Rhinolophus ferrumequinum: one gene and its partners. The protein of the gene in region 4 purifies or fractionates together with the protein of the main gene of each other region. This does not show direct contact. Links are inferred from orthologs where the notes say so. Each region holds a gene or a part of one and is shown on either strand. Other genes may lie near its edges. The genes, in order: G3BP2, FUS, HNRNPA2B1 and IGF2BP3.

Evidence for each region.
Region 1: the proteins of IGF2BP3 (region 4) and G3BP2 purify together in Homo sapiens (affinity purification with mass spectrometry; 3 studies listed by BioGRID and IntAct, with this or other methods). This does not show direct contact. The link is inferred for Rhinolophus ferrumequinum from reciprocal best matches to the Homo sapiens genes IGF2BP3 and G3BP2.
Region 2: the proteins of IGF2BP3 (region 4) and FUS purify together in Homo sapiens (affinity purification with mass spectrometry; 3 studies listed by BioGRID and IntAct, with this or other methods). This does not show direct contact. The link is inferred for Rhinolophus ferrumequinum from reciprocal best matches to the Homo sapiens genes IGF2BP3 and FUS.
Region 3: the proteins of IGF2BP3 (region 4) and HNRNPA2B1 purify together in Homo sapiens (affinity purification with mass spectrometry; 4 studies listed by BioGRID and IntAct, with this or other methods). This does not show direct contact. The link is inferred for Rhinolophus ferrumequinum from reciprocal best matches to the Homo sapiens genes IGF2BP3 and HNRNPA2B1.

Annotation. Positions count from the first base shown.
Region 1 is NC_046288.1:32,119,129-32,126,884, reverse strand, and holds the start of G3BP2 (ras GTPase-activating protein-binding protein 2), read left to right. Parts: upstream 1-4,722; 5' UTR 4,723-4,880; intron 4,881-7,756. Other genes in the region: USO1 (general vesicular transport factor p115), read right to left, coding at 4,235-4,300.
Region 2 is NW_022680357.1:239,692-246,960, forward strand, and holds the start of FUS (RNA-binding protein FUS), read right to left. Parts: upstream 3,071-7,269; 5' UTR 2,948-3,070; coding exon 2,935-2,947; intron 1,525-2,934; coding exon 1,500-1,524; intron 1,411-1,499; coding exon 1,259-1,410; intron 553-1,258; coding exon 408-552; intron 243-407; coding exon 55-242; intron 1-54. UniProt on the Homo sapiens protein: DNA/RNA-binding protein that plays a role in various cellular processes such as transcription regulation, RNA splicing, RNA transport, DNA repair and damage response. Binds to ssRNA containing the consensus sequence 5'-AGGUAA-3'.
Region 3 is NC_046303.1:15,226,700-15,234,703, forward strand, and holds the start of HNRNPA2B1 (heterogeneous nuclear ribonucleoproteins A2/B1), read left to right. Parts: upstream 1-4,921; 5' UTR 4,922-5,133; coding exon 5,134-5,139; intron 5,140-7,823; coding exon 7,824-7,859; intron 7,860-7,956; coding exon 7,957-8,004. Other genes in the region: CBX3 (chromobox protein homolog 3), read right to left, coding at 2,637-2,660. UniProt on the Homo sapiens protein: Heterogeneous nuclear ribonucleoprotein (hnRNP) that associates with nascent pre-mRNAs, packaging them into hnRNP particles.
Region 4 is NC_046303.1:17,191,588-17,199,682, forward strand, and holds the start of IGF2BP3 (insulin-like growth factor 2 mRNA-binding protein 3), read left to right. Parts: upstream 1-4,958; 5' UTR 4,959-5,307; coding exon 5,308-5,482; intron 5,483-6,894; coding exon 6,895-6,955; intron 6,956-8,095. UniProt on the Homo sapiens protein: RNA-binding factor that may recruit target transcripts to cytoplasmic protein-RNA complexes (mRNPs). This transcript 'caging' into mRNPs allows mRNA transport and transient storage.

The DNA of each region.
Region 1 (7,756 bases), on a different chromosome or scaffold from region 4:
TTGGCAAACACAACTTACTTTATATCTCCATCTTGAAAATATTTGAAAATGTAACACAGTGCTTGCTTAATAAATCTATAAATATCAGGCTTTTTGTTTTGTTTTTGATCATCACACAGCACCCTTCTTCAGTAACAAAATTCTTTCAAGTACCTCCACTTGAAAGAATTCTCTGGAACATACTTTGATAACGCCAGGCTATGTAAAATGTAAATGATACTAGTTTTTTTTACAACCACCCTAAGTAATCTAATACACTTTCAAAAAAGCCATGTAATTTTCAACAGACGTTACTTAATAAGAATACAAAAGACATGTTGGGTTGGATATAGAAGTAATCAAATACAAATTATTATTATGTTTTTTTCTGACATTGTTATTGCAAGAGCCAAGAGAGAAAACACATACCAGTTGGGACACTGACCTGATTATTAATGTACAATATGAAACATAAACCCAAACAGGAGTTTCAGACTACACATTTATAGTAACGTGTTATCAAATGTGCTTGACCAAACCAAAACTATGTCTAAATTTAAGTGCACACTCATTTTTTATTAAAAGAAAGTACAGCTGTGTCTATATTCTTAGCCGTTTTGTTTTTAAGCCAGCTGATCAAAGTTTGATCTAAAAAGAGATACCTTACAGTATGCTACTTCTGCACACTTTGTGTGGACTTTCGTCAACTTTCATGCCTTGGGATACAACTTATGAAAGGAAAACCTACACTTATCATCAAATGTAGTCAACACTTCTCTTGGGATTTTCAATAAACTAGCTTTAAAAAAGGAAAAAGGTATTAGCTGGAAGGTAGATGGAAAATTAAGCCTGTATAAGTATTCAGAAGAATGAGTAGGGTTTTTTACTATAATTAGTGTTTATTTGCACCCAGAAAAGTATGTGAAGGATTAAGAGACTACAATCATCAGAAGTCAGTGCCTTTCTCTATCTAAAAGAGAAATCAAATTAAAACTTATTTGACTCTAAAATATGAAAAGTTTAATGTGGACGAAATTTTAGAATAAAATATTCAGAACTTTATAGAATTATTGACTAGCATGACACAAATGCAGATATTTAGTACTTTGTCTCTGAAGAACATCTTAATATCAGTCTAAAGTTACTTTTAACTGAGAGTATGAAAAGCTAAGTACTATACAATCAATAATATAACTCTCATATTTAGAAGGTATACAGTAAATCTGAAAAATTCCTTAAGTAAAACGTTTGACATAATAGACTTCAACCATTCCAAAACTGTGATTCTTAATCTTTAAAAAGTATTGTTGGGGTGGCCAGTTAGCTCAGTTGGTTAGAATGTGGTGCTAATAACACCAAGGTTGCTGGTTCAATCCCAGCATGGGCCACTGTGAGCTGCGCCCTCGTTTAAAAAAAAAAAAAAAGAAAAAAAAAGTATTGTTTTAGCATCTAGTAATTTATAAGCTGTTATGATTACCGATCTGTGATTTCTTTCATTTATCACTATAATGAATTCATTTAATAAATATTTACTGAGTATCTTACCATGGAAAAATAAAGATTAAAATACATATGAACAAAGACAAAACAAAAATAAAGAAAGAAAAAATAAATAAATAAATAAATAAAAAAAGAGAAAAACAAAAAAATAACAAGACAAAAAAATACGTATGAAACCTGCCCTAAAGACTTAAGAGTCTAGAAGAGATGAGACATATATAAAAGGTAGAAAGCCTAAGAAATACACAATCTTCTTGAATGTGAAGATTGCTCAGAGGGTAAGAGATTACCTACAATTTGGTGAGAGAAAGAAGTATAAGATTACTGAATGCATTGATGCTGAATTTGAAGAACAGGTAGACGTTAGACAAAGAAAAGAGGCTTTCCACTGGAAAAAAATGAGAAAAACATGAAAAATGGAAAAATCGCTATGAAAATAATTTAATTTTGCAGAAATAAAAGCAAAAATCCTAGAAATACTAAATGACAATGCATAAGTTAGAGGCTCCAAACTACGGCAACTTGAATATGCAGGCCAGATCAAATTACCAATTAAAACTAATATTGTACCACACACTCTGATGCTCTATAAAGTTCTAAATTAGTGAGCCATGACCCCTTATACCCATTATACCTCCTGATGGAATGAGATGGTGAAACAAATTTTATTCATTCTGTACCTCAGAATAAACTATTAATTCTCTTCCAAAGACAAACTATTTTTCCAGTGTTGAGTGTATATACTCAAAGTTAGGCAAGAACAAGAATACTCACTTTCCTTTCTGTTTATATATACAACATACACAAGTGATATTCAAGCTTCATTTTGAAATCATGATATAAAAACTAAGTTGTTCTATTCACTATGGCAAGATCAAAGTGTTCTAGTCTCAGCTCCACAATACTGTACACGTTGTTTTAAGTGCTCTGTGCCTCAGTTTCTTAACTTGTAAAACAAGGGGGTTCAACCTGGATGAGCTGCAAAGGGCCTCCTAGCTTTAAAACCCTATACTCAATTAATTGTATGCCACTTTTCTGCAGAAGTCATTGTGACAAGGCCAATTATAAAAAAAAAAAAGATTATTCTTTCCCTAAATACATGCAATAAAAAACCTTATTGAGCAAATACTAAGTGCTAGGTTCTTTCTATTTTTTATTTCACCTAATCCTCATTACACCCATAACAGCAGACAGTTTCTTTAATTTATTGTTTGGGTATTAGATTAGCCATCTTTGATCAGTCCAATCCAATCAGGGGTGGATTCAAATCAAGATCTAACTCCAAAACAAGTTCTAGTAAACCACACTTTAAAACTTGGTGCTCCACACAAAAAGCTATCAGACAACAAAACAAAACAAAACAAAAGCTGAAGAGGTGGGCTATGACTATAGTAATCTAGAGAGAGCATGGTCCTCTAATAGGGCAGCTCAGTTGCCTTGTATCCCTGTGGGAACCAACAAGAGAAGCCAAATATTAGGTGTGTTTGGGTGTAATCTCATTTTCAAATGAAGGAAAACAGATTCACCAGCTTTCAACTTCTGCTTTAAACAGTTCTAACCCAGATCTGTGAGATTACTTTTAATATTATTTAACTCTCCAAAATTCCCAGATATATATTAAAACATGGGCATCAGCAATAAGGCTTAGGCTTTGAAGTAAGGCAAACCTTGGTGGAAATCTGGCTCTATTATAACACTAGTAGTGTGACTTCGGTCAAGTTACTTTACCTCTTTCAGCCTCATTTGTAAAGTGAGGACACTATCACCTATCTTGCAGGGTGATTAGGGATTAAAGGAGAATGTGGACTACAAAGAGCTCAGCACAGCACCTAGCACAAGGTACGCGCTTGACAATAAAAGTTATTTCCAAAGTTCACGTTTAAAATGTCATATCTGTCACTTTTCTGTAGATCTAAAATTATTTTCAAATAAGTTTATTTAAAAAAAATCATACTCAGTTCTAATAGACACTAACCACATTTCAAAGTCAGTTTATCCTCAAATTGAACCAACTACCAGACTGTTTTCTGTGGCCAACAAGTTTTTTAAAGTGACGCTGTAAATCGTGTTACCAAATCAGGGGTTCAGACTTCTGAACGGCGTGAGTGGAAGGGAGAGCGGGGAATGTGTCCCTAAAGCGGTTTAAGCGCGAAACATCCCTACAACGTCCAGGTATTTCCCAAATGGCATATATTTTGAGTCCGAAACACGGGGTCTGATCTAGTAACACCTGGTAGAACGACCTTCCTCCAGCTGATGGGACAGGAGCAGGTGGCTTTCTGCCCCAAACTATCTTTTTATTCTTAGCCACATGCTCTCTTTAACAGCTGGGTTTTAAACCCAGTCTTCCCCAATTCCCCATTCCAGACCTCGAGAGAGGGAGCAAGGACTTCAGGCTCCTCTCGGCCAGTGGAGACACCGGCGAAAAGCAAGGAGGGAGAGGCCCGCGGCCTCGAGGGGCGTGTAAGATAGGTCGTGCCACCTCTGCCCTGGATCGATCCCTTCCCGGCGGTACCACCCACCGACCATCCTCCCGCGGCTGCTGTCCGCAGGGCCGAGCCGCCGCGGTGGGGGGCTGCGCTGGGGGCGTAAGGGAATAACTCGGGGGTTTCAGGAGAAGGGAGGCAAAAGGGGAGGCGGCATGTGGATCCCCGGCCCACCGTGGGGCGCGGGAGGTGACCTCCGGGACCCCGAGTCCTCCGTCCCCGTTCCTGCCCGGACCCTTCCCAAGTCCCAGATCCGCTGCTCCTCTCACCGTCTCGGCTTCTGTGTGCTGGGGTCCGGCACTCTGACCCCCCATCACCCCGCGAAGGAAATTCATCTTGCCGCTCAGCCACCGGCTCTACCAGCCACTTCAGAAAAGAAAACTTCCCCTGTCCTCCGCAGGGCCTGGCCCCAGACCAGCAAGCACTCTACGATCCCCGGGCACCGCCACCGCCGCCTCCTACTCGGCGGCCGCTCCAGCCCCCTGAGCCCGGAAACAGCGGCCACCAGCAGTCGAAATGCGCATGTGCGGGGGACGTGGCATTACGTGGCGGCTCGAAGGGCGAAGGCAAAGGGGTAAAGTAGGCGAAACAAGGCCGAGAGCACGGGTCCTCCCAAGCCCCGCCCACTACTCAGGCACCGCCTCCCTCCGCAGGCACCGCCTCCCTCCGCAGGGACCGCCTCCCTCCGCAGGGACACGCCTCCTACTCCCGCCCTTCGCAGGTCGCTGGGGCTGGCCCCAGCCACCCACGTGGTCGAAGCCCGGCCCTGCGGGCTGGAGAGCATCCCGACAGTGTACGTGTTTTGGCTTGCAGCGTGTTCAGTTGTTGCGGAGCGGGACGCACTGCAAGCTATCGTACCGGAGAGTCGAATTTTGTTGAGTCGAAACTGAAATTGTCCTTAGGCCGACGTGACAGGTAAGGGGTCCTGACCCTTGGCAGGGTTGGTTTGGTTTTTTGGTTTAGCAGTCCGAGCGCTGTGGCCTTCTGATCCCCGTAAATTGCATTTCTTTACAGGGCTTTGTTTGGTAGTAAAGAGGGTGCTAGAGCCCCCTCATTCTACTTCCACGGGAGGGCGCATTTCTCAGATCTTGCTCTTCAAACCTGCGAAAAGGAATTCCTAGATCTAAACACCAGGTACACCGCTATTTTTAAGTGGTGTGAGGAGAAAACCAAGCGAACCCTGCATTTAGCTTACTAGGGAAAATACATTGCTCTGCAGTGTCAGTTTGACAGCTAGTAGCATAATGTTTTGTTACTAACTTTCAATCTCTGCATTTTCAGCGGGTTTTCTTAGCATGAAAAATGTCCTTTTTTCATATCTGTATGCCTTGTTCGTTTCAGAATGAGTTGTCAGGTACACGTGCATGTGGAGTAGTCTTGTAAATTTCTTGAGTCTAAAAAGTGTACGGCCCAGTTACCCAACTGATTCATACACCTCCCCACTTAAATGTCCCACGGGTCTCAGATTCCCCAGCCTCCCTATAAAAAAAAAAAAATTCAGTATGCTTCCTATGCACAGTACCGCTAGCCAAATAATTGCCTAAACTAGAAGTAGAAAGCAGGAAAGACTTTTAAACTCTGGATTTCATCCCCGTATGTCTACTAGTCAAGTCCTATCATGTCTATTTATAGAATATAGTATTTCTCAAATAGGTCCTCAGCTTTCCCTCCTCTGTGCCTCTGAGATAATTTATGTTCTCATCATTTTTCACCAAGCTTATAGTAATAGTTTCCTAACTAGTTTGTCAGTATTCAAGCTCTGATTTCCCTCCATTCCTGTCTCCAGTCCACCCTTGGATGAGCCTTGCATCAGCAAATCATCTGCATGACAGTCCTCTTCTTAAAATCCTCCAGTGATAAAGTCCAAACTCCATAGTTTGGTATACAGGCCCATCATGTTCTGACTTCTGCCTATCTGTCCAGCTCCTCCTTCACATACTCTGGATATATGCCCTACCTCTCCTTCTTCATCAAGGAAACACCTGCTAGTTCCTTAAGACTTAACACTGGCATCTTCTGAAAACTTTCCCTGAAATACACACACACACACGCACACACACACACTAGTGCTTTTCAGTTAATATATGTGGTAAACTCTCAGTAAATGCTTGTTAAGTCAAACTGTTGAGGGCAGAATTATGTTACCCATTTTTGTACGTCTGTTGTTTAGCACTCTCATGAGAGGTGGTATTGATGCATAAATGAAGAAAACATTAAAGGATATATGAACATTATGCTGTGGAGGAGGGTCCTTTTTCCATCTCTAAGGTGAAATTGTGGATAATACATACTATCACAAAGGCTATGGTGAAAGTTCCTTTGCTAGTGCCAATGTTTTAAGCCTGGGTGTCTTGGATAATAGTGGGGATCATACTGCCAAAAATACTGTGCACTAAGCATTGTCCTCTGCTTTAAAACGAGACACTTGACATTTTGCATCAGACATTTTCCATGGGGGCATTTTGTTGCAGCCTAAAAAAAGTAACCAATAAATGCTCAGCTTTTTTATCACCAAGTAATGTGTGCAAAGAACTTGACCCAGTCCCTAAGCCTCACCCCTCCCTGAGCCTCTCCTCACCTCTATGTGCTTCACTCCACCCCATCATTAGGGATAAAGCTCTGAAATGCAGTGGGGCTCATGGATGTTTACATATATTATTTGGTAATAGAAAAAACAGTATCTTGACGTTTTAGCAAAATTGTTTTAATGCACTGGCCTGTTTTAAATGCCCGGCTTGGTTTTAAATTTTGGTGAGTATAGTAAGTCACTGTGAGTTTTCCCTTCATTTGACCTGTTTTCTTCCCGAATAGCATCCACTGGGCAGGAAGGACAATGGGCAGGAGGGATGGATATTTGGGTGCAGAGGAGCTGAAGGTTGAATCCCCATACTTCCCCCTGACCTTGCCTGTCTTGCCCTTCTGGTGTCTGGGAAAGGGTGGAGCAGCCTATTCTAGGCTCAAGAGAGGGTACAGTGGCTGATTTGTCTCTCAGTTGGGGTCTAAAAGGGGAGCAGAGGCATCATCACTATGGAACAGCCATGAAATAGACTCCTTATTTAAGAAAAAAGGGCCTCCATGTGAATGCACTTCTGCTGATTTTATAGAGAAAAGTCAGGGACCATGTCCTGTTCCTATTTGTACTCTAATCATCTAGCGTAATTCCTTTAACATGATAGATGGTCAAGAACCATTTCTTAAGTAAAGATAGAGAAAACATGAAAAAACTGTGACTGTCTGACTTAGGCCATTGTACTTCTGACTTTCATAAATCTAAACACTTACCGTGTTTCCCCGAAAATAAGACCTAACCGGAAAATGAGCCCCCGCATGATTTTTCAGGATGACATCCCCTGAACATAAGCCCTACTGCCTCTTTGGAGCAAAAATTAATGTGAGACCCCATCTTATTTTCGGGGTAACACAGTAGAATAAATGCCATGAATCATTAAAATACACATAATCCAAAATTTTAACTGGGGTAAATAAAAATGGTTTTTCTTTTCCTAAACCAAACCTGACAACAGAACAACTAACAAAATTCATTGGTTTGAAATCTGTTTTTAAAATTGTTTCCTTACAATCCTCTAGTTCAGTGGCTTTCTTTAGTGGCCTACTTTCCCTATGCTTTCTTACTTTCTAGTGGCAAACTCAACAATAACAATGAAAGATCATTGCACAGGATGGTTTTTGGTTGGGAGTGGGGTGGGTTTGTGGAGTATTGTCTGTACCTGCTTAGGAGGACAAATGGAGGTGATAATTTATGTTTAAAATACATCACATACAGGTTTTTA
Region 2 (7,269 bases), on a different chromosome or scaffold from region 4:
ACACAAATCCTTCCAGAAAACAGGTATGAGACAGAACTGAAGACACCTGCTCACCTCCCCCGCCTCCACCACCCCCTCCGCTGCTGCTGTTGTACTGGTTCTGTTGTCCGTAGCCCTGAGGGGGATTATAGGAGCTTGGCTGCTGTCCGTAGCCTTGCTGTTGGCTGCCATAGCCAGACTGGGGCCCATAGCCTCCACTCTGGGGCTGCCCATAGCTGCTGCTCTGAGAACCGCTACCGTAACTATGGAAGAGGAAAAAGAAAAATGCCAGCATGTCCAAAACTTGCTTTCACTTTGTACATCCCATTCTCTGAACTCTGACCTCAACAGACACCCCCGCTACCCCTCCTAAGTGCCCCTTATAGATTCAGCCCTCCTGTTTCTGGCCTCCCCCCACAACGCCTTACCTTCCCGACGTGTTGCTAGGAGCTGGCTGCTGGCCATAGCCAGGGTAGGAAGACTGCTGCCCGTAGGACGACTGAGAACTCTGGCTGCCGCCATAGCCACCCGCTGAGCCATAGCCCTGGGGAGCTGACTGAGTGCTATAGCCTGCTACGTGGAAAAGAGAAAGGAAGTCATAAAAGCTACAAGGAAAGAGAAAGGCACAGAATGAACTGAAGAAAGCATTACATGTTACCTAATGCTCTACTTGAAAAGTCGCCTCTTAGAACCTGTTTAGAAATCTTGCAACTCATAGACAAAGGAGTTACCCTTCTCTTCTATGCTAAGGCTCATGTTCCAACTTCCACCAGCTTCAGAATTCCAATCTCAACGCCTTCATCCCAAAGCCCGTCTCCAGGACCACCAGTAAGCACAGCCCCAGAGGCCCCACTCGTTAACAGCACTTCAACCTACTCAGCTGTGCAGTATAAAATAGGACAACCCACATTCTCTACACTGCAGGACCTCAGGGCAAACTCCACCGCTCTAGGTAGCACATGATAACAGTCTGACTTCAAACATCTTCAGGCAAATCATGTCCTTCCTGTTAAGTATTAAAAGCCTACAACTTGCTCCCTTTAGTGAATACTTTCCCCACATTTCACCTTCATGCAACACAAATAGAAAAGTAAAAAGCCAAAAATGAAAAGAAACAAGCCCATAAGCGTTTGGTTTGAAAGGACTCAGATGCCAAGGGTTATAGACTGGATGAGGGACAAAGAAACATGTGACAGTTAACACTTCAGCTTAGGTTTAAGAAAAGCAACATTCAGAAAGAGCAGGAAGAGGCGGGGTGGCCCACTAAAAAGAGACTCACTGTTCTGGGTCTGTCCGTAGGAGCCGTAGCTGCTCTGGCCATAGCCGGAAGTGTCCGCTGACTGGCTGTAACCACCGTAACTCTGCTGTCCGTAGGGCTGATTGCTCTGCTGGGAATAGCCCTGTCCAGGCTGGGTGGGGTAGGCCCCATAGCTGGAGCAAAGAAAACCGGTGCAATCAGGAAACCTACCTTAGCAACCCTGGCCCTCCGCAACCTCTGGACGCCCAGAAAATACACTCACCTTTGGGTTGCTTGTTGGGTATAGTCTGCAAAAGAAAAAACAATCATGTCACCTTCGCCTGTCCCTACGAGAGGAGAGCACAAAGCAAAGAAAAGGCGCATTGCTACGAAGACTAAGAGGCCGCAACACCCACCGGCAACACCAAGTCTCGGCGGACACCCACCGTTCCCGGCCCGCAAATTCAACCGGCATCGGAAACCACACGCACTCACACACGTCTGGTTTCCACCACCGCTCTGGGAGGAAGGCCCGGCCGAGGGTCGAGCTACACAAGCTAAGGTCGGAGCCGCCGCAGCGGGACGGCCTTGAACGCAGGCCGGAGGCAGGAGGCAGCGCTGCTCCGGATGTGGCTCCGTGCTCCAGCCAGAACACAAAACCGCCCCCGGAGCGGGCCGCCTTCTACTGTCCGCCCCCCCTGGTCTGCGAGGCTGGGGAAGCGGCCTTTCAGCGCAAAGCTAGACACCCGAGGGGGGACCCCGGGCGTCATCGAGGCGCTGGTCTCGGGAGACGAGGTCACCGGCTCTCGAGCCCCGGGGCTGAGGCTCCCCGGAACCCGTTTTCTCACCGCCCCGCCCTCCCCGAGGCTTCCAGAGGGGGCGAAGCGCCCCCAACGAAGACGCACCGGCCAGACCCCCGCTCCCCACGGCGCCGTAAACGAGGGGCTTCCCCGCAGGGACGGGCCAAAAGACCGGGGGAGGGTGTGGCCGCTCCTTCCCGTTCCCACCGCGGAAAGAGGAAATTCAGGCGGGAAAACGCGGGGGCCCGGGCCCCACTCCCCTCGGACGACCTCCAGGCACCCCGCCTCCGGGAAACGGGTGCGCGGCCCGAACCCCGAGCCACCGCCCCCGGCCGCGTGGCACCCGAGGCGGGAACGGGGAGGTCCCGCCCCTTCCCGAGGGACCCCGGGGGCGGGGCCCACACCGGACGCGCCCCGCCGCGTCTCCCGCCGAGGGTCTCGCGACAGAAAGCCGCCCGACACGGGGCGGGGGCGGGGGGGTTCGCGCCACGAGCGAGGGGGGAGGGGCCAGCAGAGCGCGTGCGCCCGCCGAGTGCCCGGATGCAGCACTGCGACAAAGCGGGCCCCACGGCCGGGCCGGGGACCCGGGGGGAACGGCCACGGACGCCGCGCGTGTCCATCCGCGTCCCGCGTTTCCAACCGCCCAGGGGCTTCCCTCTTACACGGGCTCACCGTCGTGGGGCTTCGTAACGGGGCTGCGAAGGGAGGCCCTCCCGCCCCGCGCCAGGCGCCAGAGCGGCGAAACAAGATGGCGACATCGGCCTCCCCCTTCCACCCTCCGCCGCCGTTTCCCGCCACCGCGGTACGAGACGCTCCTCTACGCGACCGCCGCCCGGTCTCCCCGACCCACAAAACCGCCGCTGGGCGGGAACGAGGCCCCCCGTCGGCGCGCCCCTGCCGCCTCGCGCCCTCACATACCGTTTGAGGCCATGTCGGCGCACGCGCGCACGGGCCGACACGCAGCGAGATCCCGACACTACGGAGCACCGACGCCTAGAGGACTGAGCAGCCCCGCCGCCTGCGTCGACGTTTATGTACGCTTCCCCGCCTACGTACCGCGGAGGAATGTTCCAAAGGTGAAAGTAAGGGGGGGAGTCCGAGCGGCCGCCTCCCGCTCTACGGTGAACATAGACGGCTGAGCCGACAGAAGGGAAGCACGTCGACTAAGAGGCTTCCAATAGTATGTAGAACCATGTGTTTTCTAACAAAAAACTCCGATTCGCTCTGCAGGACTGGCCCACAATGATCTCTACCCCCCTAAAATAATGGTACGGTCTGATTACCCTCTGGGGGCGGGACGAGGGGGGGCCCAGGGCATCGGCGGACGGAACTGTAGTCAAAGCCTGGAACCGCAGGGCGGAACCGAAATTTCTCGGGCGGGCCCGTTTCCCTGGGCCCCACTTTCACTGGGGACGACGCGCCCCTACGCTGCACTCCCCTTGCACTGCACCAAGACGCCTCGTAGCTCGGGCGCCATCCTCCCCGGCTCTTGAAAGGACGTTTGTGTCTTCCCTGAAACACCCCCGCCCCCCCCCCCCCCCCACCCCGCACCCCCCCCCCCCCCCCCCCCCCCCCCCCCCCCCAACCCCCCCCCCCCCCCCCCCCCCCCCCCACCCCCACCCCCCCCCCCCCCCCCCCCCCCCCACACAACCCCCCCACCCCCCCCTCTTGCAGAGTCGCGTTTCCTTCGTCCTTGCCAGGGTGTGTGGATTGTGACGTTTCAGCTGCAGGACAGCATGCAGCGTCGCCTGACGCCGCGCTCATCGCCCCCCCAAACCCGCGGGACCTCAGTTTAGAGATGAGATGAGGGGTCTCTCAGTCTTTTACTGATAAGGAGCTTCTCTTTATTTTCCCGAAGCCCTACCAAGCACCACTGTGGACATCCAGTAGTGACATGTTTGTATAGGGCTCAAGTGCACAGTTAATGGTTTTTTTTTTTTTCCCCATCACGATCTTGGGAAGCAAGTAAAGCTGTGCCCATTTGATAGGGAAGGAAAGCGAGGCTCAGAGGCCAAGTGCAGCGAAAGGTCAGGGGTTCTCATTCGACCCCAAGTCTGTGTGGCTGCAAAACTCGCCTCTCGTTGGTGACGTGAACCCTTTGCGGGGCCCTGAAGTCTGTCCACTCCCTGGGAAAGCAAGGACAAAACGCGACGGTCGAAGTAACCTGTAACTTGCCTGGAACGGGAGATTTGAACGTATGGAATAAAACACCACCAAGGAAGTCATTCCTGGTTCACAGGCACACAGATTGTCCTTCCCTACATACCTGTGACCTCGGTTCCAGAGTTCCTTTGTAGGTTGGACGTGTTTTCCCGGAGAAACAATTGAGGGCTACGCCCTAGGCCTGCCCACAAACTGCTGCTAACCCCGATTTAGGCCCTGATGGCCCTGTCCCCCACCCCTACCCGCATTGAGAGGGCAGTGTGACTCTGGAGTAAGGGCAAAGGGAAATCCATCACTCATTCATTCGTTAATTCTACAAATATTAAGTGTTCTGGGCACTGAGGATGCACAAAACAGATGAAGTAATTTAACAACAAACTAACATTTAACCATAATAGTGTTTATATATTAAATGTGTAACGTTTATAAGAGCATAACAATTTCATAAAGCTTGCTAAGTATCAGGCACCATTCTGAGTGCTTTGAGTATAGCTTGTTCGATCTTATTCACAATAAAAGTTGGTGGAGGAATACATTTTTACAGATGAGCAGCCTAGGCACAGAAAGGTCAAAAGCTATGCCCAGGGCGACCCAGAAAAAGTGGCAAAGCCAAGTTCCCAACCCAGGCAGCCTGTCTCAGAGTTCCTGCTCTTAACCCCTGTGCTTCAACAAACATCTCTTGAGCACTGTGTGATATGTACAAAGCATAAAAATGGGTCAGTCCTGGAACCACAGCACCTTATAACCCGTGGCTGAGATGTGGGTGAGACCCAGAGACACCAAAGTGTACTCAAATTAAATGTGCTGTGACATAGAATCAAGGACTCCAGACACTATAGGGAAAGCGAGTCATCCATCAGGTAGACACCCAAGGACAGAAGATGAAAGAGAGGTGGTAACACTGAAGCCAGGCCTCCCAGGATAAGTAGGAGTTCACCAGCAGTGAAAGGAAAGGGTGTAACTGACAGAAGGAATGGCAGAGACAAAGCCATGGGTGAGGAAGGGCACTCGTGGGCAGAGTGGCAGGGAGAAATAGGCTCAAACTGTGACCTCCAGGAGGTAGGTTTCTCCGGACTCGTCTCTCTGAGTCACAGAACACGGGGCCTCTTACTTCTCCTTAAAAGTCTCTTTACACGAAGGACACCCCTCTCCCGACCCTCCCACCTTTCCCACCGTCATTCTATCTCCTGCCCCTTCGTTCTCTGCCTTTACTCACCCTCCAGGGTTCTGTCTTCAGCCTTCTTCGCAGCTCCTCTGAGACCCAAGACCCCAGCTGTGGGCCTGCTGTGAGATGCAGCTGCAGACAGGTTCTGTGTAGCCTAACGTTGTTTTTAATTTTTGTAACGAGTTGCCAAAACATAGAATAGGGCAAACTCCACGCTTCTGTCTTTTCTTGAAAACTGAGGGCTCGGGCCATCCTGTACATACTGTTGTTCAAGTATGTTATGGTGACCCCGTACACCCAATGCTAAAGAACACTGGGGTTCAGTTAGCAAGAAAGGAGAGGAATGGCTATCGCAATCTCCTTCTCATTTTTGTTTTGGTCTGTTCTCACACTAGCCATACAAATAGTGTATTGAAATAGGCCAGAAACGTAATTAGGGTGTATCTCTTAAAAGGGAAGATTCCATTTATAGCAACACTTGCCTGAAAGATACTCAAACTGAATACTGTATTTCATCACAACTGGTTCTGACCAGCTGAAGCTAATAAACAGGTGTGGCCTTTGAGTGACTCACTGGATGCCGGACCCTTATTGGACCTAACGAAGACTCCTTCCTGGCCAATGAGCAATGGGACTCTGTTTTAACCAATTGGGTCAGACCTATGAATTCATTCCCATCCATCCCAAGTGTTAGTTTTTCGTTGTTAATTAGCATATGACCCTGACAATCCCTTCCTAATACTCAAACCTCTCTTGACTTCTCACTCTCAGCAACCCTGCCAGTGAATGCCTCTTCACTGATGAGTTCCTTTGACTGTCAAGTACCGTCAGCCTTTTTCTTTTTTTAAACTTCGATGATCTTTGTTTCTTCACTGACGATCTTTAGAAATCATTTACATTTAGCTTTATAAAATAGTTTTAAATGAGAATCAGGGCCACAGTTTGACCATCTAGGAAAAGGGTCATTAAACTTTTCTGTTTTAATGGGGAGATGGTAAATACTTTAGGGTGTGTTGTTTTTTAACTTTATTTATTTTAAGTGTGTTTTTCCAGGACCCATCAGCTCCAAGTCAAGTAGTTGTTTCAATCTTGTTGTGGAGGGCGCAGCTCACAGTGGCCCATGAGGGGATCGAACCGGCAACCTTATTGTTAAGAGCACCACGCTCTAACCACCTGAGCTAACCGGCCACCCCCTACTTTAGGCTTTTTAAAGGTCTCAGTGGCAAGTCCTCAGCTCTGCCTTCATATCTCAAAAGCAGACATAGACAATAGGTAAATGAATGGGAGTGTCTGTGGTCCAATAAAACTTTACTTCAAAAACAGGCTGATGGCTGGAGTTGGCCCTAGGGCCATCATTTGCCAACTCCTGAACTAGGATTCAAGCCATTAAGCTATGGTCTATCATAAAAATCAACCCAGGGGCGGCCGGATGGCTCAGTTGGTTAGAGCACGAGCTCTTAACAGGTTGCCAGTTCAATTCCGCATGGGATGCTGTGCCCCTGCAACTAAGATTGAAGACGGTAACTGGACTTGGAGCTGAGCTGTGCCCTCCACAACTAGATTGAAGGACAATGACGTGGAGCTGATGGTCCCTGGAGAAACACACTGTTCCCCAATATTCTCCAATTAAAAAAAAAAATCAACCCAGAAGTAAGGTAGAAATCAAGTTGGAGATCCCCAGCTGTATTTGACTCTCCCCAGATCTAGCCCTCTGCAGAATGGTCCCTAGCAGAAGAGGATCAGAACGCCTCACCATTTCTTCCATGAGCTGAGTGGGGATAGCCTGTCGGACCCCAGACAGTTCATGTACTAACCTAACCAAGGCTTTAGTGATCAGAAACTTAAGACCATTGATAAGAAAGGTTGTAGCTATCAACGGATCCAACCCAATTCCAAAACCAAGATACAGAGCGGGCCCCCTCTGT
Region 3 (8,004 bases), about 2.0 Mb from region 4:
CAATTAATATAAGACCCAGTCTTATTTTACTATAAGACCGTGTATAATATAATACCAGATCTTGTATTAATTTTTGCTCCAAAAGACGCATTAGAGCTGATTGTCCGGCTAGGTCTTATTTTCGGGGAAAAACGGTAGAGAAAAGATTAAGTAGCAGTGACAGGTCTTACTAAGTGAATCTTAGACGTGTCAAAACTATAGCTCCCAAACACTAAGACCCACTTTGGCAATTCAAACACTAATGTTAAAAGCCACAATACAGAAAAATAGGTAACCGCCAATAATTGAAAAACATAGTTCAGAATCCTATATAGCAGGGCCAACCAGAGAGACCATGAATAGGTTATTTTTCCATAATTTCTGTTGATAACATTACTGACCACTTAGTACAAAGCTATAATGCTGTCATTTCAAGAGGCCAAAAATGCTACATCAGTTTAACTCTGTAGGAAAAAAAAAACAACCTTTCTTGGTTTCTCAAGAAGTCTAAACTGATAGCCAACAAAATTCACTTTAAAAAAGTTTTAGCTTTTTCAATTTTTTTTAAGTGTAACACCATTTGAGAGAAGCAGGACACCAAGCTCAACCTGCTATTTTCCAATAACACAAACAGATTTGTTACCAGAAGACTGAAAATGGATAAATTAAAACAACAAACAAACTGGTCAATTAGAAGAGACAAAGGTGGGAGGGAATCCCAAATGTTACGCTCATTTTATAATCATTTAAAACAGGTGCTATTAAATCTTAATTGCCTAGTCACTAAAGTCATCCCTCAATATAGTATGCAAGTAGAAAAATGTAACGGCAATTACAAAATATTGCAAAAGGACATTAAAACTATGTAGTCATTTAGAGGTACACACACATATAAGAACTGAAAATCCTCTGGAATTTAAAAAAACGCAAACATTTTATTTTGTTGGATACTATCTTTAAGTCAGGCCTTACAATTTTCATTAGTCAAGATACTTGGGTACTGCAACCAGTCCGAGAGCTTTCTGCTTCTCTACAGTACAGGAAGGTAAGAATAGTGGGAAGAGTGAATGAAGAAATACTGGTGTGGACAAGTGCTTACTGGATACTGATCCTAAATAATAAAACAAAATAGCTATGTCCATGAAAGTAAGAGATTAACAGAATAAAGAGGATGATAAAAACACAGAAAATGAAAAGGATAAACCCTGATAAAAAATTGGCATTAAAAAATGAAGTACTATGATGGTACTCACAAACTAGTTTCAAGCACTTTTTTTCTTTTTAAAGGAAAATTCACCCACTTTCCCCTTTAAGTTATAGCACACTTTATCTCATAACATTAATAACTTTAAAATGAAGATTAAAATACTTGTGTGCAAAAAGAATTTAATTTTAACAGAAGCACCTATTTACTTTCTGTATCTACATTCATTCTCAAAGCATTAAAAAGAGCATATTCCCTTCCCGTCCAATATTTGGGCACAGTTGATCAGAAAGCCAATTCAATTATGTACACTTTGGTTTACTGATTATGGAAATTCGAAGGACAGTTCAAACCTGAAGGGGCATAGAAGATGCTTTGTGCTTTTTCTATTGATGGTTTTGATGGGAATCATTTGTGCCATAGAGACTCACCAGCAAGGCTTTATATTTCATTTCGATGTTTCCCAGGATATTTCATTTAGATGTGCAATCTATTGATAGCACAAATTAAAAATCACCAAGTTGTCCTTTTTGGTGTGAAATACAAGGGGAGAATATACACAAACCAAAATCAAATGTTTTGCTTGATTTAGATGTTAACACTCACCTTCATATAATTGCAATTATTAACAACACAATGTGTTAGAAGTAAATACTGTGGGAACCATGCCTTTGAATTTCGTGATTTTTATATAAACACTCCAGTGACTTTTAAAAAACTTTTAACTTGATGTGGCTGAATATACGTATGTCTTTACACATTTACAGAACTTTCAATGAAGTCTAAGAATGCAAACTTTGGGTTTAAGAAACTAGAGAGAAAAAATGTTAACTGCTCAGAAGTTTCAATAGATCTACTCTCCTTCCTGGACATATGTGCAATTTTGTTCATTTTGTGTATCAAAAAAACACTGCAATGATTTAAATTTAAGGCCCTTTTGTATTTTTAGAATGAGCAAGTTTGAAATATGATAAAGTGACCAAAGTAATTTGATTCAGTGACTTTGCCCCATTTAAGTGTACAAGGTACATGCTCAATTAAATTGGCCAATACTGAAAATACTTTATTTCCCTAGAATTCAGTATGGTGAGGCAGATAATTATGCCAATCAACAAGGGCTTTGCTGCTTTGTCTATGCTTGCAACATATTTTTTATGTTATATAAATTTGTGCATTTTTACTTCAAGATATACTTGGTGACGCTCATACTGTGCTCTTCTTCCAACACTAGGTTCCTTTAATTGAATTAAGACACTATTAAGCCAAGCCAATAAGTATCTCAATGTAATGATTTCATTTTTGTCCCTAGTTTTCCCCATAACATTGAGGAGAGAATGGACTGCAGAATATATAAATGGATGTAAATTTCTCAATCACCGACATGCAAAGTTATAATTTTTGGGGAAAAAATTTGAGTTAGACCCTTACACATTTGAGGTTTTTGTTAACTTACCAATGTAGTTTTATTGGAGGCCATTTTTTATTGCAGACTTGAAGAGCTACTGCTAAAAAAATGCATGACAATTAAAAGAAAGTTTGCATGATACAAAAAGGTAACTAAAGTTTTGTTTGGATTCCAACCCCCACCTATGTAGCCCATATTATCAAACTTATACTGTACAAATCCAAGTAAGATTTGAGTTCCTACCTAAGTTATTAGTGATATATGCCTGAGAGTATATCAGTGTTCTAACCAAGTGGGCCTTGAAAACCTTACTAGGAACACTGGACTCTGAGACACCCTTACAGGGCAAAAATTAGTAGACAGGTATTCTTCCAGTCCACATCCCATTTCTACCATATTCAGCATTTCTTTAAAAATGGCCAAATATCTTGGTTCAAAATCAGACACAATTACTCCATGAAAATGGTAAACTACCGTGAATTTTTCCTCTAGACCTCTTAACAGTCTTAAGAATCGACTAGGTAATCCCAACTTGGTCTCTTCTTGGAAACCCTCCCTCTTTCCAGTCAGTACTTAAAAAACTAAAGGAAAAAACACAGCAAGATGCTTCAGTCCCATTTTGTGCCACTTTGAAAAACAAATCACCTCTTCTGTCCGTCCATCTGTTCCCGCTAGCCCCAGACCCCGCCCCCCACACGGGAGCTAAGGCCTCGTGGTCAGCGCATCCGCGGGGAGAAACAAAGGCCGCGGCGCGGGGGTTCAAGGGCACTGCGCCACGGGGCCCGCGCCTACTCCCGCCCCGCGGCGGCCACGTAACGGAGCGCCCGCCGCAGCCTCCGGACTGCGGGCCGCGCGCAGGCAGTCGGGCCACGCAGATGCGGGAAAATGCACAGCCCTCCCGGGAGGCCCCCGCCTCCAACCAGGCCGGGAGGGGGGAGAAGGGCCTCTCATCTAGATCGGGGATGGGGGAGGGGAGGAAATACGCTTTGTCTAGAAATAAGGCGGCTGTCGCCACAGCTCTTTACCCTGTCAAAGACAGTCTCATCTCCCCCAACAAACTACAGGCGCCGGGCCAACGCCAGGCCCGCGGCGGGGTCTTCGCTCGCCTGTTTCTTTCCCCCCAGCTCACGCCTCGGGGGTCGGGTGGGGAAGGGTGAGAGCGGGAAACGGGGTGGGGGAGGGTCTCTGTGGCGCATTTTAAGCACCACCTCCGAGTGAACGCTAGAGAGAAAGAAAAACACCGACTTCACCGCCTCGGAGGTGCTCCGGGTCTCGCGTCTGCAGCGTCTCCGGCCCTGCGCGCCTTCAGCTCGAGCCACATCCGAGGGGGAGGGGGGCCGGGAAGCTGCGCGCGGGGCCGCGGCCGCGGGAGTGGGGGGGTTGGCACCGCCCACGCCGGGCGGGCACGAGGGGCGGAGCGGGCGGGAGCGCGCCCGGCGTGGGGGAGGGGCTGGAGGTCGCGCTGTGCCCGCCGGGAGCCCGAGCACAGACCAGTGGGGAGGGGGGCGGCGATAGTGGCATTTACCTTTCGCCGGGTGGCGCTTGGTGGTCCCCGGAGGGGAGGGAGAGGAAAGGAGGGGCGAGGGTGGTGGCCAGAGTTTTATCGGCGGAGGCGTTTCACCTTCGCAGCAGCAGCGCTGGCGCCAAAACCAGGCTCCGCCTACTTCCTCGCTTTTCGGGGTGGGTGCCTCCAAACGATGCGAAGGGGTGAAGAAAAACATAGCTGGGGGACAATCGGGAACTAATGAGTGCCCATTTCGGCCCACCCTCTCTGAAAACCTCTCCTAAACCCGAGTGCTGGACACCAAAAAATGTTAGCCAGGGTTATGTTGATGGAGCGTCAAGTGTAATTTGTGGACTAGAAGTCGCTTTGCGTGTTCCCGGAAGGGGCCGAGTCAGGCCTCAGCGCAGGGGGAGGGGTAGGGGAGGAAAATCGCAGGGGGAGGCTACAAAGATTTTTATGGAGGGAGATTGCGAGGTGGGGGAGATTATCAAAATCAGTATTACAGGGAGCACTTCCCGGGTTGAGGAGGCTGGACCTCTTGGCTGTGGATTACGCTCCACCCGACATCGTTAATTTCAAATTGCGTGACCGTTTCTCACCTGCCCTGCGCTAAGGCAGGGGCTGGACCCAATTCCGAGAGAGGAAAATACGCAGGACTCGAGCCTTCCGCAATTCACAGATCACATTTACGCAAGTGACGTCAAGCACTACCGTTTGCCGTAAGGGAGGGAGGTGTACGTAATTGGCGTAAAAGGGGCCTAGAGCTTTCTCGCTATTGGCGGCGGTTAGGACGTTTACGCAACGGCCTGACGTAAAGGCGCGTTAGTTGGGGGGAAGGTTCTAGAAAAGCGGCGGCAGGGGCTCTAGCGCCAGTAGCAGCAGCGCCGGCTTGCCGTGCGGAGGTGCTCCTAGCGGTGTTGTTTCTCCAGCCGCGGCAGTTTTCACTACAGCGCCAGGACGAGTCCGGTTCGTGTTCGACCGCGGAGATCTCTCTCATCTCGCTCGGCTGCGGGAAATCGAGCTGAAGCGACTGAGTCCGCGATGGAGGTAACGGGTTTGAAATCAATGAGTTAATTGGAAAGGGCATGGCGAGGCCGTTGGAGCCTCAGTGGAAGTCGGCCACCCGCCTCGTGGGAGAGCGGCAGTGAAATTGGGCCACTTCACAAGCGGTTGTTCTGGGGATATTTTTGAAGAGGTAATTTTGGCGTAGGCCTGTTCAGCACTTTCCCCACCCTCAGCCGCCCGGCGCCATTTCCCTTTGCTGGGGGTGGGGGATGGGGATCTTCCACATGGCGGATGCAGCCTCATTTTAGTGAATGTGGGGCGCGGAGGCAGGGATTCTTATTTACTTTTTAAAGCGGGCTTATTTGGGGGTCCCCACGTCCTCGAGTGCGAGCGTTTCGGCGGGCTTTGGGTCCTCGGGAGCGAGGCTGCGGAGCTTCCCCTCCCCCTCTCCTGGGAACCGGATTTGGCGGCCGCCATTTTCATTTCTCTCCTTCCTCGCCGCGTTTTTCTTTAAACTGTTTGAAGTCTCCTAGTTTGATTCTTTTATCAAAGAATAGAAGTGGTTAACCGTTTTTATTTCTTCCCGGCCTGATTTCACGCCGTTTTGAGGTGGATTCCGAGTGCTTTGTGAGCTTGGATCTTTAAAGCTCTGCGCACCTCATTAGAGGCTCTCCTTTCCCCTCGATGAAATGGCGCCATTGCGTTCAGAAGCCACAGCGAAGAGCGCGCGCGCGCGGGCTGGGGGGTGGGGGGGGCGACTTCAGGGTTGGTTCGCACCGCTTAAGAGAAGGTAAAGCGACCTCTGTGGTTTGGGGCCCCGTTTTAAGGCGAGCTCCAGAGTACACAAAACATTTTGTTTTACAGCCCTTATTTCCTTGAGTAACGGTTTTAATCTGGGTCAGCCGTGGCTCAAAGGCAGTTGTCTCGCAGAAAACGAGAAATAAATGAAAATCGGACCTATCAGACTAGTACTGAGTATGTGGGCGGCAATGGGGAAGGGAATGATTCGTTTCAGAATCCTGTATTTTCCTGAAGGATTCCCTCTAATTTACGGGACTTTTTCGTATTAAAATAATACTTTAACTAGAAAATATAGTTTTTATTGGTTAAGACCACGGGTCCTTATAAATGATTAGCGAGGAATTATGAGGAAAGTGAAATAAAAATGATTTTATTCTTAGGTTCTGTTTAAAACCCGACTCAGTCTTTCGGTGCGTGTATTGCTTGCTATACAAGACTTTAGGTTGGGGCCACTATGTATTTGAACTTTGTCACTTGATATTCTCGTGTTGGCAATTACGGTTCATTACATTGGCAAACATAAGGGCCCAAGCAAAGGGGGTCTACCAGGGTATTTTCTTTGACCCTAAGCATGCTTATAAAATAACTTTGTAATCGATAGTGGACATCGGGTAAGTTTGGGAAAAAAATGAGGTAAGTAAATGAGTTTTTTGCCTTTTAGTGATTGGTAGAAACTGTCGCAGATGTACTTTTTTAAACTAGTTGGGTTTTGAAAGACCTATTTATTAACAATACAGTATTTAGAATAAGGTTAAGAATCCAAAATACCAATATGCCAAATAACGATTTTAATAGATTGTTATTTAACTCTATCAGGAGCTGGTTTGATAATCTTTTAAAATTTTTAGGTTCCTGAACACAGTAAACATGCAGAAAAAACTCTGAATTGCTTATCACTGTATTTTTTTGAGTTGGGACAATATGCTTGGAGGGAGAAACGTTCATAGAACTGGGTTGAGAGCTGTGATGCTCTTTGCTAGTAATAAAATACTTACTGTTGTAGTGGAAATTACACTTTATGTTTCAGTTTATATTATGTATTCGTAGCAGTTGGTCCTCAACATTGCATTTATTCTGGTTTCTGAATATTTAAAATTTTTTTTAATCTAGTCACCTGAAAACTACCTTAACTGATAGCTCGGAAACATAGGACTGTTAATGCAGCTTATTTGCTGGTTTATGGGGATTAAAAGATTTCAGCTCAGGCATATTTTCTTTTTCCTTGTAAAATTAGAGACATTCTGTGTAGTTTGCGGGGTGGCCACTAAGTTCAATTCACATGGCCCTTGGTTTTTTTTCAAATGAGTGAGTGAAATGTAAATGGAGGTATGGTATAGATAAGCTTTAGTTGGTCATAAAAACTGGTCTTGGTCAGAAGAATGGTAAAAATGACGTATATTTTGCTACATGTATTGAACATTTTAATTTTAAGTTTTTGCCCCAAGTGGTGGTGAATAGTTGGTATATGGGAAAAGAATGATTCTTGCTAGGTTTTTGATTGCGATGTATTAGAATCTCCACCAGAGGGAGCAATGAAGGGAACGTAAATCTGTCACTTTTCAGAAACTAAATTCTGAAATGGTAAATTATGGGATGTAAGGAACCAGCAATTTTTATATTAAAAAATATTCAAACTGGGCATTTAAAAGTTAACTTTTCTGTTCTAGGATATAGGATTGAATGCAACTTCTGATGACTACTTAACCCTTCAATGACCAGAGAAGAGATTTGCTCCTTTCTCTTAAGAAAGCTTTTTAAATTAAGTGATATTAAATTGATTTGAAATGTCAAGTAAATTTAGATCAAGCATTAATGACTGAAACGTGTGTAGTTCAGATGAAGCAGTTTTTTTTTTTTTGGTGTAACACTAATATGCAGTTTAACATATGGTTTAAATTTGATGTAAGTTTTTTTTTTCCCTCCAGAAAACTTTAGAAACTGTTCCTTTGGAGAGGAAAAAGGTACTCTGCCAGCAGGTCACCTTACATTTAAGAATTTAATTTCCTGCATACGAAGAGAAAATGTAAATAAAAATTGAAATGGTGTTTTCCTTTGCAGAGAGAAAAGGAACAGTTCCGTAAACTCTTTATTGGTGGCTTGAGCTTC
Region 4 (8,095 bases):
TTTATACTTCCCTCTTTTCTGTCATGGTCAGAGTTCTGATCTTTATTTTTGAGAAGACCAATAGCAACTTATGTAGATAATTACAAACGTTGCAAAGACACCACTACCTGGAACACACCACTGTAGCTGTTAGCTTTTTCAGTTAGTGAAATTAAATATGATTATTCGTTTGTTTTGTGCTTCCCTAAGCCAAACTTGTATTTATTTTTTCTCACCGTCTCCACCAAATGTCCGTAAAATTAGAACATTTCAGCTACAGAAATCGCTAATCCTTCAAGGTCGGTCTCAGCTTCTTTGGTCTTAGGACAGCTTCAACGAAAATATTGGTCTCGGCATAGCTGATATTACCCGGAGTTTTTCGTTTGCTTTTTTTTGGAGGGGTTGTTTGGTTTTGCTTGTAACAATCCCGTGGACCACAAAGGGGGTTAGAAAAGGAGGGGGCTGAAAGAGTGGATTTCTCTAGAAGCCCAGGAAAATTCAGGCATCTAGAGACGTATTTTGCTGTTGTAATTTAAAAAGACGTATACATTCTAAGATGTTGGAAACGAAAGAAACGGTGTGACTTCAGCTACTTAGCATGGCGCAAACCCACGACCTCCGGGCGCTGGACGTTGGGGGAAGGGAAGGGAGTCTGCGGGCACCATGCGGTCAGCCCAAGGGGCGGGCTCCACACGCACACGCAGAACTATTTTCTACTCTTCCTTAGTCATCTCCCCTTTTCCTCTTTGGGGGTTGGGGGGCTCACAGTTAAAGGGCAGGAAAAATGAAAGCACTAAGAGGGGAACCCAACCTCAACCCTAAGCAACAACAGAACCAATGAGAGGGAGTAAAGGGTTATTTTCGCGCCACAAAAGATGGAAATCCAGGGGTGGCTAGCGGGCCAATGAATGGAAACCAGCAAACGGCTCCGGCGGAGGCAGCCGACGATGATAGGCTCCCTCCATCCACCAATCGGGTGAGAGTCGAAGACCCCCGCCCCCTCCCCAGCTAGGGGCGGTGTCTCTCTCCACGCCGGTTGCTCAACTTGGTTTCTGCGAATCGGCCCCCGTGCTGCACAAAACCCCGCCCCGGGGCCGCGTTTGCGCGCCCTGGGCGCCTGTCTCACTGTCCCGCCCCGCCCCGGGCAGAGGCGCTGGGTTCAGCGAGGGCTTCTTGCGGTCTTTTTCCTTGGGTACCAAACATTTCCCAGCGCAAGGGAGCCCCTCGCAAAGTCGAAACAGGCTGGGAGCCCGGGAGGTCTGCTAATCGCACGCTGCTTGATTCGCCCCCGCGGGCCACGGAGGAGGACCTCAGGTGGCGTCATACAGTGAGGGTAAAGATAGAGGCGCCCCCCGACCCCCAAGTCTAACCAGTCCACGCAGCTCCACGCGGACGGACAGAACCCGAAGCGGAGCCAGAAGGCGCCTGTCCCGCGGCAGAGCCAGGGCCGTGCAGTGTTCGAGGGCCTCCGAGGCTAGCCGGCGGCCGACGAAGGATCTTCCCCAGTGTGCGCTGCAAGGATCCCGCCCTCTTTCTCCCGGCAGAGCCAGGAGGAAAGGAAACAACCCCATCTTCTCATCTTCTGGGGCACCATTTTTTATTTTAAACAAAAATAACTGAAGGCAGGTTCAGAAGAGGGCAGAGCCAGGTTACTACTTATCACGCATCAGGTTTAAACATCAGAGCCCAGGAGAGCTGGTTGAAGGAGCAAGAATGATGTTAAAAATACGTCGTAGGAGGCCCAGGCGACGCGGCGAGCATTGCGTGCTCACCCGAGGACTTCGTCTCCCGCTTGTCCCCGAGGCAGCGGGAGTTAGGGGTAACAACGAGAATTTCCTTTCCCCCTCCTTTACCTGCTCAGCCTTCGGTCATTACCTGTGGATACCGCAACGGTAACCGACCTTCTAAAGAGCTTTTTTCTCCTTTAATATTACACTCACCCATAAACATTTTTATTGCCCTTCGGTCAGCAGATGAGGAGGTGCAGCTGTCCAAAGAGTAAACAGGCTGCAGTTGGAAAGACTCAGTCGCATCAGAGCACATACAATGGGTGGGAGTCCTTCGTGAAGTTAACATTAATTAGGAGCTGCAACTGTTTCAGGAAGAACTTGGAGTAGCCCATATACATAGTTAATTTCTTGTGGGAGATTCATTAAAAGATTGCGAGTTAGATTGACTTTATATTCATTTTTGAAAATCCACCAAAGTTATTTTTGCAGTTGAAATGCCAATAAAAAACAATTACCCATGCTCTTTTTACTCAGCCATTTAGTGTATACTTATCTCTCAGTGCTTGGAAGAATCGAAGTGGACTGTGTCCACCTCCCTTTTTGATGTGTGAGCTTATATAACTCGTGTATGTTTTTAAGGTCCTAGACGGAGTATCCAGTTTGTTACAATAATACACAGATTAAGTTCACAAGAGTCCTAGGAACATATTTCATCAAAACAGCACACACTTGTTTTAAATTCCAGCTGTTAGATTTGTTTGATAGTGACAGACAAGCATGGGCTAGTATTTATGGAAAATAAACAATTTATCCCATGCTTTGGAAGTAGATATTTCCTTTGGTCTCAGTTTTAATAGCAGCAAATTCAGTCAGCAATCCAGAAGGTACCATTCAACTGACTTTGGAAACAAGCTAAACATACAAAATTTGTTTTTATGAAAATCACTAAATGCTAAATTATCAGAAGACTCGTTTATAACATTTAAAGAAGTATTTAGAAAAACACAAATGAATGAAAAGCATATTTTTCCAAATAGTTTTTGAGCGCATGCAACAGGTCCATGAAAAATAAATTCACAATTTTTGATATTTTGAATACCACAGAAGTCATAAATACATATTTTTTTCTTTTTTAGAACCAAAGTTCTCTTTTTAAAAACATCAAAAGGAAACAAGCTCCTTTTAAAAGTTAAACCTAGCCATAAACTTAAATTTTCACCAAAATGTTCAAGATAGAGCTCACAAAACAATTCTAAACATTATACAAAAACACATTTGTCCTCTTTATCTGATAAAGTAAAAACATTTTCCTAAGTTAAACGTGAATGAAAATACTGTGAAAGTGAATTTACGTTTAAAAAGTTGGATTTGCTTGCCAGGAAAAAAACCTAGTAGAAAGAACAGTTGCATTTAAAATGGATGATCTGACACCTTCCGGTTCCTTAACACAAAATTACAAAATAAGTTTCTCTTAAAAGAAAAAAAACGTAAATACTATTTATATCATGTAATAATTCCCACATACTTAAAAAATCACCAATCATCTTTTTATTGGAAAATATACTTTTAAATGCCATGTACGGGTTTGACAAAGGGAAATTAACTATCAATTGTCATAATTACTTCAGCTATTTCAGTGTAAATCACAATAGTGTCTATTACACAACACATTTTCCTACTAGTAAGAGTACGAAGTGATTAAATAGTTTTGTATGTAATTCTATGCTATATAGAATTCCATTCACTTATTTAAAATAAGCATTTTGTTTTTCATGGAATACCTGTTAAAAATATACCACAAGTATCTGGTACAAGTGAAGCCTTTGAGTGGAGTAGACAATCATTAAACGACATTTGGAGATTTCCAGCACTGCGTTCATTTCCGTATTCCTCGTCTCCAGTCCACATTTTGTTGCCCAGGAAGGCTCCACCGGGCCCAGACCCTCCCCCTACACCCAGCATTGTACTCGTTACGTACAAGGGAAATTCTGAATGGTTCTCATGGCCAAATGCGGGCAGAAAAGAGGCAGAAAGAGACTCGAATAATTTTTCAAGTGCGAATAACACCTAGGGGTAACGCAGAGCGGTCTCTCTGTTTTAAGAGTCCCAAGTTCTCCAACTAAAATTATTTAAATGAAAGTACGAGCCTACCCCACTCCTCCTCCTCTGGAAACTACAGGAAGATATGGTTTCCGTTTAAATACCGACTTTTCCCACTCTGTCTTCTCTGCTCCGGCCTCCGGGGCCCCGGGACGCCCCTATCCCCACGCCAGAAACCGCCACCCTTGCGCTCCCCTCCCCCACTGTTGGCCAAGCCCGCCCCCGGCCTCATTTATCCCAGAGCCTTTTCTGAATCGCGCAACCAATGGCAATCGCGAAGCCGAGAGCCACTGCGAGCGCAGGCGGAGGCGGAGGAGGTGTCGCCCAGACACCCGCCCAGGACGCCGCGGGCTCCCATCCCCCACCGCCCAGGCTTGGGGGCCCCCCCCCCTTCCCCGGTGCCCCGGCCCGCGAAGGGTGCAGGGGTGGGGCGCCCCTGCCCGCCTCTCCCGCCCCTATCCACCCTACCCCCTCGCCGCGTTTCCGCCCCTGCCAGCTCTGGAAACGTGCTCGCGGCTTTGCCGAGGTTACACTTCTAATGTCATCCAAGCCACAAGGCGAGTTCGGAATTGTGACTCTTTGCTTTTGTTAATTACCTATTTTAAGAAATCGAATATTTAAAACTCCGGTAACTAGAGCTGAGGAATTGCCTAGTTAGTACCCACACCCCATCTCATTTAAAAAGGAAAAAAATCGATATTCCAACCCTACTCCCCTCCCCCTCAGGATCCGCCCCGACCGGATAACCCTTTCTAAACTCCGTGGTGACAATCAGCTCAAGCAGCCGCGCTCCCCTCGCTCGCCGGCTGCGGCTCCTTTAGCGTTTCCCCGGCTGCCTCCTCCCCTTTTCAGGGTCCCTCGCCCAATCTCCTTTCCCCTCCCCCTCTTCCTCTCGCTCGCTTTTTTTCCCCCGAAACCCACTCTAATTGAGGCGCTGGGATTCCTCACGTGAGACGTTGATTTGTAGTTTGAACACGTGGCTCATTCAAAAAGCCGGACACTCGGAGCGGATTTTTTCCGCCTCCTGCGCCTTCCTCCAACCCGATTCCCCTCCCTCCTGCCAGTCACTCTTGTGGGTTTTTTATGGGGAGGCGGCGCCTGCCCTCACGTAGTGTGATATTTTCACAGTCCTCCGGCCGAAGCTAAAGGGGTTGGGGAGGAAGAGACAAAAAGTAGTTTTCCCCCTCCTCCTTCTCTTCTCCTCCTTTTTCTCGCTAAGCCCGCCTCCTCCTCCGAGTTAGGAAGACTCGTTGATGCGTTTGGGTTCTAGCAAGGCTTTTCAATTTCTCTCTCTTTTTTTTAATACCTAGAAAAGGGAAAACAAGACTCCTCGGATCTGATTTTTCTGTCCTCGTTCTTATCCTTGGTTCTTACTGTGTTTGTGTTTTTAAACGGCGAGAAGACGAAGGGAACAAAACCCTCCGGGTCCATCCATCCCTGTGGGTGGTTTTAATTTTTCTTTTTTTCTCCTAATTCTTTTAAACAACCACTCTTCACAATGAACAAACTGTATATCGGAAACCTCAGCGAGAACGCCGTCCCCTCGGACCTGGAAAGTATCTTCAAGGACGCCAAGATCCCAGTGTCTGGCCCCTTCCTGGTGAAGACTGGCTACGCGTTCGTGGACTGTCCGGACGAGAGCTGGGCCCTCAAGGCCATCGAGGCGCTTTCAGGTGGGCCCCGGCCTGGCCCCGCCGGGCGCCTGCCCCAGCCCTGCGCCTCCGCCTGCCCGGGCCTGCCGGGGTTGAGGGCCCGGAGCCAGGCCCGCGGCTGCCGCCGGCTTGTTCACGCAGGGCTCCGGGCGAAGGCGCGGAGAGGGGCCGAGGCCCCGGCGCCACACGCGTGGGCTCCGGGGTGCTTCCTCAGCTGGGCTCCCACCCGGGCCCCCGTCGCTCCCCTCCCCCCGCCGGGGGTTTGCGGGCGCAGGGCGGACGCGCTGTCAAGAAAGCTCGGGCGCGGGCTCGGAGGAGGAGCGGGGGACCGTGGCGGGGCCCGGGGAGCGGCGCCAGCCGGCGCGGGACCCTCAGCGCTCGCCCCGCGCCCCGCCCGGGCCCAGGCGCGTGCTCGGGCTCCGGCACGCCGGGCCTCGGGGGCCGGCCGCGAACGCCTGCCTCTCCCTCCCTCCTTCCTCCCTCGCTCTGCTGCTTACTTATGGCATTGGAGTCGCTGCGCCGCTCCCGCCCCAGACCCCGGCAGTGGGGGAACGCGGAGTGGCCTCGACCCGGCTGCGGAGTGAGGCCCGCCGCGGGCTGGTGCTTCGCACCGGAGGCCCCGCGCTGCCTCTCCACACTGTGGGAGGCGGGTGAGTGCGACCTGGGTTCCATGCTCCGCCGTCCACGAGACAGGGGCAGGTGGACAGGGGCGGCCTGTGGTCGCTAGGTAGGGACCCGCTGTTCTCCGCACCCGGCCACCGGCTGCGGCCGCCGGGGGTTTCGGGACGCGATCTGCGAGGGCGGGGGACGGTGGGTAGGGGGGCAGCGGGCCCGGCCGCCCCCAGGGGAAGGCTGTGCTGGGGTCCCTCTGGGATCCCGGAGGCTTTCGGTGTGGTGGGCGCCGCGCTGTCCTTCGTGCGTTGTCCATTGGATACCGAAATGCACCTCCGGGCGTTCGCTCCTTCTGCACCCTCTCTACTGTCCTCGAGCCTTTTCCTCCGCTCCCTGTTCCCGGAGGGCCCGGGCGCCCCCTCCTGAAGAGAGCCAACACAGCCCCCTCTCCTAAGTTTGTCTTGTGTGTGTGTCCAGGGAGGTGGGCGGAGGGGCCGCGTCCATCCTGCGACTGTCGTGGGGTTGGGTGACCCCCCTCTGGTGGGCGGGGGAGCTCTGCCAGTGGGTAGACTGTGACTGAAGTAGCGGGGCCGCCAATCGACTCCCCTCCTCACCCATCTGTAAGTTACACACACAGCCGGGAGGGGGTCAGCTTCCCACCCGCGCGGTGCCGGGCTTCTCTCCCGGTCTTGAGTCGCGTCCGGATTCCGTTTGGGGGTCTCAGGAGGCCACTTGTGTCGCCGCTCAGAATGTGCAGGTCCTTTGGGCGCGGAGAGCCGCTAAACCCGGCCAACTGTCTTCCTCCTCTTGTGTGTCCGCAGGTAAAGTGGAACTGCACGGGAAACTCTTAGAAGTTGAGCATTCGGTCCCTAAAAGGCAAAGGTGAGCTCATTTATTCTGTTCTCGCCGATTCTGTTCTCATTCCAGTATTGGGAGGAAAGACTATCAACACAGCTGAAAACAACTTTTCCTCTTGTACTTATTGGGCGGCTGTATGGCGTGGCGTTTCTCGACTTTTTCTCTTGTATTTAAGTGTATGGCAGGTGTGTTTGCGTGGGTAATGCTGCAAAGGAAGAGAGGGCTTATGTGTGGCCTCTGCCACTGGAGTAGTGTTATTGGACTAAGTCTCTCGAGGAAGCTCTCCCATCTCAGTATTCTCTGGTAGAGGAGGGCAAGTTGCTTCATCAGGAAATCAGTCGGAGGGCAGTTTTTGGGAATCTGTAACTCTTGGGAAGCAATGGGTGACCCCTCCCCCACCACACCTATAAGTACAGGGTAGGCGAAAGCAGCTGTGGACACACACGAGTGTGTCCTGCCTTTCTTTCTCTGTCCTAAGCTGGCGGCGACCAGCCTGAGAGGCCAGCCCCAAGTCTGAGGGGAGAGGGAGTGCCTTTACCCTGTTAGCTGGCCAGCTGGGATTGGAACACGTGAGTGAACCTCTGGCCTTCTTCTGCCCAGAAGCGCCTTGCACGCACTCCGGAGGCAGACAGGTTTCTGCAAACCGGTCTTTGTCTCCCGCTTCTCTCCCCCATCCTTAAAAAAAATATTTTTGCTTACGAATTACCACCAAGAGATCGTGGAGACTAAAGATTTGTGCTACTTCAGCAAAGGGATTGCACTTTGCAGAGAGCATGTGTCGTGTGTCATTTTATAGAATGTTTGGAGGCTGTGTTTTAACCTCTAGAGTAATTGGGAGAAATGGCTCTTTTCTCAAGAGCAGGCCAGATCCCTGCTCTGTAACTCTAATTGGAAAGGTGCTGCACCCTCCCAGTGGTGCTAGGGCTGGCCTATGCCTTTCTGGGTTTCACAAGGTGGGGTTAAGGTTCCTGCCCTTTCCCTTCCCATCTCCCCACTCCTAACCTGGGCCAAACAATAACGGGGAAGTTAATTTAAACTAGGACTCTGTATGTCTGGTTAGGTATTGGTGGAGTGTGTGTGCTGAAGGGCAGGAGGGGTTTGCAGCCGTAGTTCCCTGGTGCAGAGCAGACATGGCTACACAAAATGTCATGGTTTGCCTATTTC